Linked DNA regions of Macaca fascicularis. The protein of the gene in region 1 interacts with the protein of each later gene in a pairwise test. Links are inferred from orthologs where the notes say so. Each region holds a gene or a part of one and is shown on either strand. Other genes may lie near its edges.

Region 1 (6,037 bases):
TGCCTCGGCCTCCCAAAGTGCTGGGATTACATGCGTGAGCCACCAAGCCCCGCCGGAAGGACACTTTTTTTAAAATTAAAAAAAAAAAAAAAAGTAGAAAAACTGATTGGAAAGACAGGTACTAATTCAGAAGAAATATGGTAAGGGAGACAAGTAAAACATTCTGAGTTACGGTCTATGTCAAAATAGACACTAGAAGTGAGTAATGAATGAACAGTAAATTTGTTTGTTTGTTTTGAGACGGAGTCTTGCTCTTTTGCCCAGGCTGGAGCGCAGTGCCTCGATCTTGGTTCACTACAACCTCCACCTCCCAGGTTCAAGTGATTCTTCTGCCTCAGCCTCCCGAGTAGCTGGGATTACAGGCATGTGCCACCACAGCTGGCTAATTTTTGTATTTTTAGTACAGATGAGGTCTCACCATGTTTATCAGGCTGGTCTTGATCTCCTGACCTCACGATCAGCCTGCCACAGCCTCCCAAATGCTGGGATTACAGGCGTGAGCTACTGCGCCTGGCCCAGTAAATTCATTTTAAGTGTTTATACCAGGGCAGAGACCAGGAGAAAGATGAGAAGCTGGCCCAGCTTGTTGGGATGCTCCTGGAGGGCTGTGGTTGGGGTTTAACATCCAGCTAGCTTAGCTCATAGCTGCTGAAGACATTAATCAATGTGCTCTATTATGCAATTGCAGATAGCAGGCACTGTGCTCTCTCCACTATGGGAACTTACAGCTACTCAGAGACAGACACATATATTGACTCCTGTAGACAAGGTGAACTAATGCATCCCAGCAATTACCATGTGCAAATCTTTACGCTAGATGCATCAACATATCCTCCTGAACCCACTGAAGAGTTGCCCTGCAAACATGAGTAAACAGGTTCAGAGATGTTAGGTAACTTCCCATGGTTACACTTAAAGTCCTGACATGGACACTGTAGGCTCACTTCTAAGTTCTTTTTTCCATGACTCACTTGCCTGATTTACCTGCATGTCATATTCAACTTTTTGTTCTTTCATGCAACAAAGCCATCTCATATGGGCCAGACGCCATCTTAGGCATTAGCAACAGAAACAATCCCAAGGGAACAGCACAGCCACAGCCCCCGCCCTCACAGAGATTAGCATTTGTGAAAACAGACATCAAGCACATAATGAGAGACATGACATTATGTGCTTGATGTCTGTTTTCACAAATGCTAATCTCTGTGAGGGCGTAACTATGTGCGCATAACATGTGGGGGGCGGGGGGGGGGGGGCATCCAGGATGCTAACCCAGGCCAAGCAGTTCAAAGTGAACTGAAGCTTTTACATCTGAAGAAGTGATGCAGACTCAGGAGTTGGCCAAGGAAAGTCAGCATTACGAGGGAAGGAAAGTGAACCAGGCAGATGGAACAATGTATGAGATGGGACAGAGAGAAGGTGCATTCAGGGACCTTAGAGAAGGGTGGCTGGAGAGGACAGCAGGGGTCAGATCACGAACTTCGTGTGCACACATTTGAGACTTAATCCCAAAGCAATTAGAAGCCAGTTTCCAATTCACAAAATTCTTTTGCCACAGAAGAGGCAGAAATCACTTCATTTTAATACCTACCAATAGCCTATAGGATGGTCAGTTCGAATTATTTTCAGGTCCACAGCAACTGACATAGGATACTATGGGGTTGATCCCATAAGAACAGGAGGAAAGAGCTGCTTTCCCCAAAACTCCCATTACCACTCCCTGCTGGCCCAAGATCACCAGGAAATTGACCCCAGGAGGGAATATAGAACGTTTGGGAAGAGCAGGTCCAACTCTGGCTCTTGCGCCGCTAACATCTTAATAGTGAAGTTGGTTATATTGTGCCATTACACTGCCAGTTATAATTTACACAAATTGTTCTTCCTCTGGCTTGGTCTGTCTCCTCCCCTGCTCGGTGTAGAAGTATTTTTGCTCTCAGGGACGGATCCCAGTAGCCTGATGTTCCATCCTCCCTCCTTGCCCCTCTGTTGCAGGCCCTGTCCCACAAAGAATTAGAAGAACATCCCTTGCTAAATTCCAGGAGTCAGCAAAGAGCGGACACCTTGTTTTAAACATTCTGACAGCAGGTAGGCAGTATTCTGGGAAGAGTATAATAAAAGCCTCTACAGTTAAGTTAAACCAGCAAATAAACTGGCTCCCTAGTTCAAATGTGCAAGACAGCCTTAGGAGCATGTTAAGATGACAGAAAAATGAAGACATGGGGAAAAAAACACAAATCACTGATAGTAAAATAATTTTATTTAGTTTCTTATTTTAAAAAAGGTAGCATTTCAACATATAAATTTAGACTCAAGATTACAGGGTATATTTGCCAAAAGGAACACCCTGAAAGATGGCCAGCCTCAGAGCTGAGGGCACAGGGAGGCACACTCCTCACATGTGGAGTTTAAGCAGAAGTGCTTTAAGACTTCACAGCGGCATTTCCCTGTTCCTCAGCCCTGCCTCCAGGGCCATCACTTTGGGGCAACAGCTTTGCTCATGTAACTATAAAACATCTCTAGGAATGAAAGCACAGAGGTCAATGATCCAGATTTTCCACGACAATCATCTGAGGCAACAATTTGACAGGTAAAGAATTTATTTTTATAATTCAAAAGTTCTTTTAAGGAGAACTAAAGAACACAAAATTCATTCATAAAGAGAATTTATAGAATTAAATGAGCAAAAATGAAAAATTATTTTCTCCATATTACAAATGCCTCTATAGGATAAGGCCCAGGGGAAAGACCCACTCAAATCTGGGCTTTCCTTTCCCAAATAAAGTGTTTGGCACAACCAACAAGCTGTCATGAGACTGACAGGCCTGACAGCTGAAAGGTTTCTAGAAGTGGTCCCATGACTTTTCTGTGGAGCTTCAATATAGTGTACACAAGAGGTGTCTTAAGCTGCACAAACTCAGGCCAAACTACGCAGCACACTGCTCCAGAGAAGTTAAAACTGAAGGAAAAAAAAAAGGTCCACATGAAGTAGGTCTCCTATTGCCACAGGTTAACTCTGTTGTTTCTCATGGAAAATTAAATTCACTGGCTGCCCAGGACGTCAGTGGAATCCTGATCTCCTGGGGGAGGTGAGAGCTGGAGAAACAACTTGGATTTAAGCATCTCTGGGCCAGGTGGGAAGGAGACAATGACCAAGGATGCTTTCCAGGTGACTTTTTGTTCCACACTATGTGGGCTCCAGACAAACAATCTTAAGGAGCATCAGTGTGCTTGTGACCATCGCAGCCCTCGGACTTGGGCCTTTAGACGGAGGTGATGGGGCAAATGAATATACCCCAGATCCAGTTTTAAAAATAAAAACTTCCTGCAATTATGATACACAACTGTGCAGCAAATCACTAGGAATTGTATGCTGCTCCTATTTGTGGTTAAAGCCCTGTCCCACTCGTGGCCAGTCACAGCCGAAAGGTAACACACAAGGAGGTGGCTGTAGCTAAAAACCAGGCACCTTAGTCAAGCATGGCCTGCGGCAGTGATGCTGACAGTCATCACCCAATGGAGGGAATGCAGGGCCCCAGAGCTTTGGTTCAGAGCAAAGGTTTCATCTCACCCCAAACTTCAAATCAAGCCCTCTGTATCTCTGAGCTTATGAATACAAGAAACTAGTGATTAGGAATCTCTATGAGGAATCTCTGGTTGGGTAGCAAAGCTCAGGTCCCTGCAAGCCACCACCATCCTGTAGGAAAACAGAAAGGTGCAAATCGTATCAAGTAAAAGGTTGCTCAAGTGGAAGATCGTTTCCTGGGGAACTTCAGTGGCCTGGATCTTAATCACATGGATGAAGGCTGGAACTGGATCCCAAAGAAAGGGCCTAGGTCCCAAGTGCAATGAGTCTTCTTGAACTTACCATATCCTTCTCAGTCATCTCTTGAATGGCTGAGCACACAATTCCCTGGGGGACCAATGTAAACATTATTCAACTGATCTCCACTTAGGAAAACACAGCTTGTTATATATTTAGTGTTTAACATTCCAGTGCAGGCAGTATCTTAGCATCAGACTTTCCTCACTCATGAGTAGCAGTTTAGAAAGGAACACATATAGGTTACTTGATAAGACTGTGGCTGAAAAGACCATTTGTGTGTCAGACAGCTGGCTCCATCCTCCAATCAGTGGACTACCCAGGACTATCGCAGGAGAGGCAGAACAGATGAAGTGTAAGTTCCGTGTAAATCTGAAGAGTCCGTATAACCATTGTTCCCACTTAACCCCTTGGGCCACATCTTGATATGGAGAACATTTCCACCTCTTGCATCAACCTGTGCTCTCTTTGTTTTGGATGAGGTTCTCTCCAGAGGGTTCAAGAGCCTCCTTAGAGGGGAGTGAGCTTTCTCTTCCAGTCCTAATATCTGAATATTTCAAAGCACATGAGGAGTCCACGAACATGTTAGGGATGTTGCTGCCAAAATAGATCTTACTGTTGGAAGCAATGGCCTGGTACTTTTTGAGCTCCAGATATTCCGGGGTCAATTTGTGCTGTGTGGGAGCAAACAAGAGCAAAGGCATCAGGATACTCTGGTGCAACAGTCTTCTCTCTCTCTACATACATTTCTCCTGTTGCTCTTCTGAGTATCACGAGTCAAGCCTGAATAATTGCCAATGACCCTCTCTCACTTTGGAGAGTGGCTATCACATTAACAGTTGCGTTCCTGACTTAAAATTCCTTCAATAAGCTCTTGACTTAATGCAAGAGAAGCTGTTCACTTTTTAATAAAAGGATGGGGGAGGTTAGAAAACAATTTGTGATAACTAATGATAATAACTAATAATAATAATAATAACTATGGTGACTTTCATTTCATCTAGTTGAATTCAACCTGGAATTGGTCTGGAGTTTCTGTTGATTGTCTTTCTAAAAAACTTATTTTTATTTTTGTAGAGATGGGGTCTATGTTGCCAGGCTGGTCTCAAACTCCTGGCCTCAAGCAATCCTCCTACCTTGGCCTCCCAAAGTGTCGGAATTAAAGATGGGAGCCGCTGCACCCAGCCTCTTTTTTTTTGGAGATGAGATCTCACTCTGTTGCCCAGGCTGGAATGCAGTGGTTCAATTATAGCTCACTGCTGCAGCCTCCAACTTCTGGGCTCAAGCGATACTCTCATCTTAGCCTCCAGGGAGGCTACAGGAATAAGCCATCATGCCTGGTTCTCTGTTGATTCTCTTGAGAGAGATACACAGATCAATGGATGAGAGCAGAACTTCAAAGGAAGGGCTGGTGCTGCTTTTCTTGAACAAATTCTAGAACTAGAATAAAATCTCAAGAGGTCATCTGATCTGGTCTTTTGCCTTTCCCCAGAAGCTGGATGTTTAAGCTGTCTGTGACAGACAGATATTTGTCCACCACCAGATCTCCCTCTGTCACAGAGTTTTGTTTTGTTTACATCAGTGCCAAGATGTATCTATCTAACCAGAATCTCCCTGGGTTTGATTAAAACTCACTGACCACCAGACCTCCCTCTGTCACAGTGTTTTGTCTAAATCAGGATGCCAAGATTATCTAACCAGAATCTATCTGGGTTTGATTAAAACTCGTCGACCACCAGATCTCCCTCGGTCACAGAGTTGTTTTTTGTTGTTGTTGTTGTTTTTTTGCCTAAATCAGGATGCCAAGATGTCTGTAACCAGAATCTATCTGGGTTTGATCAAAATCCATTTCCACTGTTCCCTGGAACATATGCCTTTCAAAGCCCCTCAGATCCTGCTCTGTGATCCTCTCCTTGAGTCCTGGCCTGTCCCCCAGGCAAAAGTCCATGTTGTCCTTCACAGTCCTACAGCATTTATTTTCTACACTTTGACATCTTTCACTCCCTGGATCTCTATCTTCCCCAGGTGATTCGTATCCTCTGTCAAAACACTCAAATCAAATCTGGTCATAGTGTACAACCACATTTCTTCCTCAAGCCTTTTTAATATAGGTTAGTATATGAGTCACATTTTTCAAAATGGCATAAAACTACTGCCCCTTTCTGAATAAGGTAGACCTCAATGGCAAGATCTTGAAACTTGTGCCGGATGAGCTTC
Region 2 (5,543 bases), on another chromosome or scaffold:
TAGGATAATGGGTATCTAGTACTGATAATCATATAACCTATTTATATTCAAATAGATCAATTTACTACAAACCTGCTTAAAATGAACAGAATAGTGATCAAATAACACCCAAAGAAAATCATTTTTTTTCTCAGACTCATCAAATTTTGAAATTACAGGGATCTATAACATAATATCATAGACATTGCATATCTATCTCATATAAAAGTGTAGTTCTATATCATAAAGCAATTCAAATTTTGCTAAATGCAATAAAATCCTATGAGTTAGGAAAATTTTTGCCCATCTAAAATATTTTCTTTCTTTTTATCTTTTTTTTTTTTTTTGAGATGGAGTTTTACTCTTGTTGCCCAGGTTGGAGTGCAATGGAACGATCTTGGCTCACTAAAACCTCCACTTCCCAGGTTCAAGCGATTCTCCTGCCTCAGCCTCCTGAGTAGCTGGGATTACAGGCGCTCACCACCATGCCAGGCTAATTTTTGTATTTTTAGTAGAGATGGGTTTCACCATGTTGACCAGGCTGGTCTCAAACTCCTGATCTCAGGTGATCCTCCCATCTCAGCCTCCCAAAATTCTGGGATTACAGGTGTGAGGCACCATGCCCAGCCTCTAAAATATTTTCTACCTTCTGATAATTACTCCCAGCTGATTTTGGGATTTCTATTAGCAGAATTTTTTTCTTCTTGTTGTTATTTAAATAAATAGAAGACATGGTATTAACTCTCTGGAGGCTTCCTGTGGAGAACTGAGTTGATGATTGGATATTTGATCATTTCAGAATAAATATAATCCTTCCCTACTAGTTAATTGGAGAATTCTTCAATTTTCCTGAAGTAGTTACACTTTCTTAAAATTATTAGAAGTTTTAAAGTATCTACCCACTAATTAAGAAAAACATGTAGCTGGATGCAGTGGCTCAGGCCTGTAACCCCAACACTTTGGGAGGCTGAGGCAGGTGGATCACCTGAGGTCAGGAGTTTCAGACCAGCCTGGCAACATGGTGAAACCCTGTCTCTATTAGAAATACAAAAATTAGCCAGGTGTGGTGGTACACACCTGTAATCCCAGCTACTTGGGAGGTTGAGGCAGGAGAATTACTTGATGGGTGGCGGCGGGGGCACAGAGGTTGCAGTGAGCCAAGACTGCACCACTGCACTCGAGCCTGGGCAACAGAGCAAAACTTTGTCTCAAATAAATAAATAAATGTAGTTGAATTTTAAAAATATAATTAGGTTTTAAATGTCTGTCTTAGTGTAAAGTAAGAAAAGAAGTAAGTGGTTAATGCTGCAATATGTAGCTAAAATTTAAAATCACAAGTGGGCAGAGATTTATCTACTTTTTTTGGTAACATGGAGATCATTTATGACCTGGGTTGGCAGGTATGGTACAGTGGAGGAGACAGAATTAAAATTAGATTAGTTGGTGGTTGGACCGGGAACAGTGGCTCAGGCCTATAATCTCAGCACTCTGGCAGGCCAAGGTTGGAGGATTGCTTGAGCCCAGTTCGAGACCAGCCTGGGCAACATAGTGAGACTGCATCTCTACCAAAAAAAAAAAAAAAAATTAGAAAATTAAAAATAAAGTTAGATTAGTTGATGGAGTGAAGGAGAGGTGAAGAAATAGAGACAAACCTTATAGGAACCTCTTATTTAGGTCCTCCTGTCTCCACTATTACTCTTGGCAGGCTTTCTTTGCTACTGATGAGGCAGAAATAAAACTATATTGTCAGTCTCAGATTTAAAAAACATTCATTTTAATAGGACTATTGCAAACACATTAAAAAACTAAACAGTAATATTACAAAATCTATATACTTGCACATTTAATATTTGTCAATGTGCCAGAGGTTTTCTTCATTCAATTTGACTTCTTCGAAGTGAAGGCATTTTTCCATCATCCCTTATAACTCTGATTGAATAAGTCTTAATGCTTTCTTCATGTTTTCTATCACTGAAATAAGAGTTAATATATATTATGCTATTAACAAATGAAAGTATAAATGCTATGATCTATTAACTCTAGAACCTGAAATTGACCCAATAGCTTTGAAAACTTGGGAATTCATCTGTGACATTAAGGAATATGCTAAAAGTGTACATGTAAATTTAGGGATTAGACCATTGAGAGCTGGTTGGTCAACTTTATGTTGAATAATTTCATTAGAGGGGTTTTGAGGAATACCTCTTTTATTTTTTAATGGATCATTTTGTATTAGTATTGCCAGATCTTACAGGCACAGTTGTCTTACTAAATGTGGTTGACAATGAATGTTGTAAAAAATAGATTTGGCCAGGCATGGTAGGTCATGCTTCTAATCCCAGCATTTTGGGAGGCTGAGGTGGGAGGATCACTTAAGGCCAGGAGTTTGAGAACAGCCTGGGAAATAGACTAAGACCCTGTCTCTACGAAAAAAAAAAAAAAAAAAAAAAGAGAGGATTAAAGTCCTAAGTAAGACTGTACCTCCTTGCTTATAGGCATTAAAGAAAGATGAAATGATTTTACTATCATTTGAGGAAATCACATGAGATCTTTGATACTAGGAGAATGGACTCTCTCAAGTTTCTGTCGTTTTAATGTGTACTATATTCTTTTTAGTGATCTCAGAATTTAGTAATCATAAAAGCCCTTAGGCATCCCTGTTAAAATAGATTCTGAGCTACCCCCAAAATTCTGATTTTGGTGGGAGCCAGAAGTTGGCGTTTTAAACACCACCACTAGCCTCAGTGATTCTGGTGTGTAGATAGCACTGTTTGTGGAGAAGCACTGATGTAGGGCATCATTGTCCCTTAACTAACAGTCAGGGGTCAGCTATGACCACTGTTTCAGATCGTTTGTGAATACTTACATAGGGGTAAATCCTGAGGTTCATATGTGTACAATCTGTTAGAGTATCTTCCAGCTATATCAGCTCTGACTGTTAAAGAAGGGTCTGTCAAGAAAAAAACCGAGTCAGTAAAGTATAATTTAGCATGTTCTTTTTTTTCACTCTTGTGAAAATTTTATTATTATTATTTTATATTTGGGGGTTATGTGTGCAAATTTGCTACATAGATATATTGTGTGATGGTGAAGTTTGGGCTTCAACTGAACCCAACACCCAAATATTGAACATAGTACCCAACAGTTAGTTTTTCACCCTTTGGCCCCATCCCTCCTTCCCTTGTGTTGGAGTTCCTGTTGTCTATTGTTCCCCTCTTTATGTCCATGTGTAACCAGTATTTAGCTCCTATTTATACGTGTGAACATGCACTATTTGGTTTTCTGTTTCTGTGTTAATTTGCTTAGGATAATGGCCTCTGGCTACATCCATAAAATGTTCTTAAAATCATTTTTATTTCTTAATCTAAAACAAATGTCAAGCAAATTTATAAGCAGAATTAGTTTTCATACATGTCGGTTCATGATGAATTAACCTGAATTCTCCTTTTAGTGTGTCATAGATCTCTGTCAATCTAGTCTGGGGCAGTGTATTGAAAGTACATTGGGATATAGATTTAATAGCATACGTGCTTTGAAAAAATATTTAAAATTTTCAAATTGCAGAGATAGTGGATTTTGGTTGTAGAACTGACAAGAGCTGATATTGATTGGATTAGAAATGACTTCTCTTTAAAAAGAATAGTACTTGAACCAGCATTTAAAAATAAAAGCAAGAATGCTGACTTCTACTAATTTTGTAGATCCGATGAAATGAGATCACATACATACCTACAAACATGATTCTAGGCACATATTGCCCATCAGGTGATAAATTCTTATCAGTGGTTTCATGCTAGCAGAAGAAAAAAAAACAATGTTATTGGATTCATTTGTTTTTGATAGTTTCAAGATGATTTTGTGTGAACTAGACTGTCAGTAAATTCTATTTTGGCCTTTTATAATTCCACATAACTTCCTCTATTAACCAACATTTAGCTCTTTGTGCTTTAAAAATAGAAAAAAAGGAGGCCGGGTGCGGTGGCTCATGCCTGTAATCCCAGCATTTTGGGAGACTGAGGTGAGTGGATCACCTGAGGTCAGGAGTTTGAGACCAGCCTAACCAACAAGGTGAAACCCCATCTTTCCTAAAAATACAAAAATTAGCTGGGCATGGTGGCAGGTGCCTGTAGTCCCAGCTACTCGGGAGGCTGAGACAGGAGAATAACTTGAACCAGGGAGGCTGAAGTTGCTGTGAACCCAGATCGCACCACTGCACTCCAGCCTGGGCGACAGAGCGAGACTCCATCTAAAAAAAAAAAAAAAAAAAAAAAAAAAGAAAAAAAAAGAAAAAAGGGATTCAAATTTTCCATGAAATTATAATATTAAGAAAACATCATAAAGTTTATGTACCATAAGGTTTAGCATGATGAACTTATTCTGAGCCATTTCTTGTATTTCTTCATTTTGGGAAAATACTCGTTTTAGTGCTATAGGGGAAAACAAAATTGTCAGTTAGTTTTAAGGATCAAGAGAACTTTAATGTAGCATAGCAAAATAAAGCTAATATTTAGCATTTGTTTGCATATATAACTCAAGTGTAAATATTAATAGTTCATTGGCCTATTGCCACTTTGCAATGAGGGACAGTCTGTTCAAGGAGACATCAAAGGATAATCACAGTGAAGACACTAGTTTTATAATTTTATATAACTCATTGACTCATTGGTTAAGACAACAACTTTTTTCTTTCAGTGTTTCTCCACCCTCTCAGCTCACCCCTCTCTTTTCATGGGAAGAAGAGGAATATCTAATTTCTAAGGGGATATAATAGAAACATTCAGTAGATTGGTAACAATCATTGTGGTCTTTAAGCACTTTAATAAAATGATGGTACTCTGGCAGTTGTCTAATTTTTTTTTTTAATGAGATTTGCTGAGTGCCTTCTTAGCTATTATTACCAGGTCACTTTTCCTATTTTATATTGGAAATATTATGTATTATAATAAGAGCTCAGGGACTAAAATTACCTTGGGAGTATTGACAATCTTCCAGGTGATGAATAACCATTAATGGCTTCTTACTAAACAAAGAAAGTATGGAATTAAGTCAAATGATTAACTTTGAGTCAAAACATACAGTGGAGTTAGATTTGAAGTTTTATTAGTTTCAATAAGACTTACAGTAGTAACTCAGATTTACAAATCATAGCACTGTAGTCAATAGCAGTGTTACTCTATTTGTGGCCCCAGAACTGACAGTATCAGTATCACTAGGTAGCTTATTAGGAACTTAAATTCAAAGGCTCCATTCCAAAATTAGCAAAGGCTCCATTCCAAAATTAGCTGGGCGTGGTGGCGTGAGCCTATAGTCCCAGCTGCTCTGGAGGCTGAGATATGAGAATCACTTGAACCCAGGAGGTGAGGTTGCAGTGAGCCAAGATAGCACCACTGCACTTCAGCCTGGGCGACATAGCGAGACTCTGTCTCAAACAAACAAAAAACCAAAGGCTTCATCCCAGACCCACTCAATCAGAATCTTTGGGGTGAGGGGTGGTTTCAGGCATCTGTAGTTTAACAAGCTTATTAGGTAATTCCTATGTACTCTATAGTGCAGTTAGAGAAAAT

What was found. The genes of interacting proteins can lie anywhere in the genome.
Region 2: the proteins of ERLIN1 (region 1) and AGR3 interact in binary tests that used the Homo sapiens proteins (3 or more experiments, as listed by UniProt). The two-hybrid records come from large-scale screens. The link is inferred for Macaca fascicularis from reciprocal best matches to the Homo sapiens genes ERLIN1 and AGR3.

What each region holds. Positions count from the first base shown.
Region 1 is NC_088383.1:109,094,709-109,100,745, forward strand, and holds the end of ERLIN1 (erlin-1), read right to left. Parts: intron 4,495-6,037; coding exon 4,273-4,494; 3' UTR 2,240-4,272; downstream 1-2,239. UniProt on the Homo sapiens protein: Component of the ERLIN1/ERLIN2 complex which mediates the endoplasmic reticulum-associated degradation (ERAD) of inositol 1,4,5-trisphosphate receptors (IP3Rs).
Region 2 is NC_088377.1:113,343,549-113,349,091, reverse strand, and holds the end of AGR3 (anterior gradient protein 3), read right to left. Parts: intron 5,000-5,543; coding exon 4,947-4,999; intron 4,407-4,946; coding exon 4,330-4,406; intron 3,773-4,329; coding exon 3,709-3,772; intron 2,930-3,708; coding exon 2,846-2,929; intron 1,951-2,845; coding exon 1,901-1,950; 3' UTR 1,737-1,900; downstream 1-1,736. UniProt on the Homo sapiens protein: Required for calcium-mediated regulation of ciliary beat frequency and mucociliary clearance in the airway. Might be involved in the regulation of intracellular calcium in tracheal epithelial cells.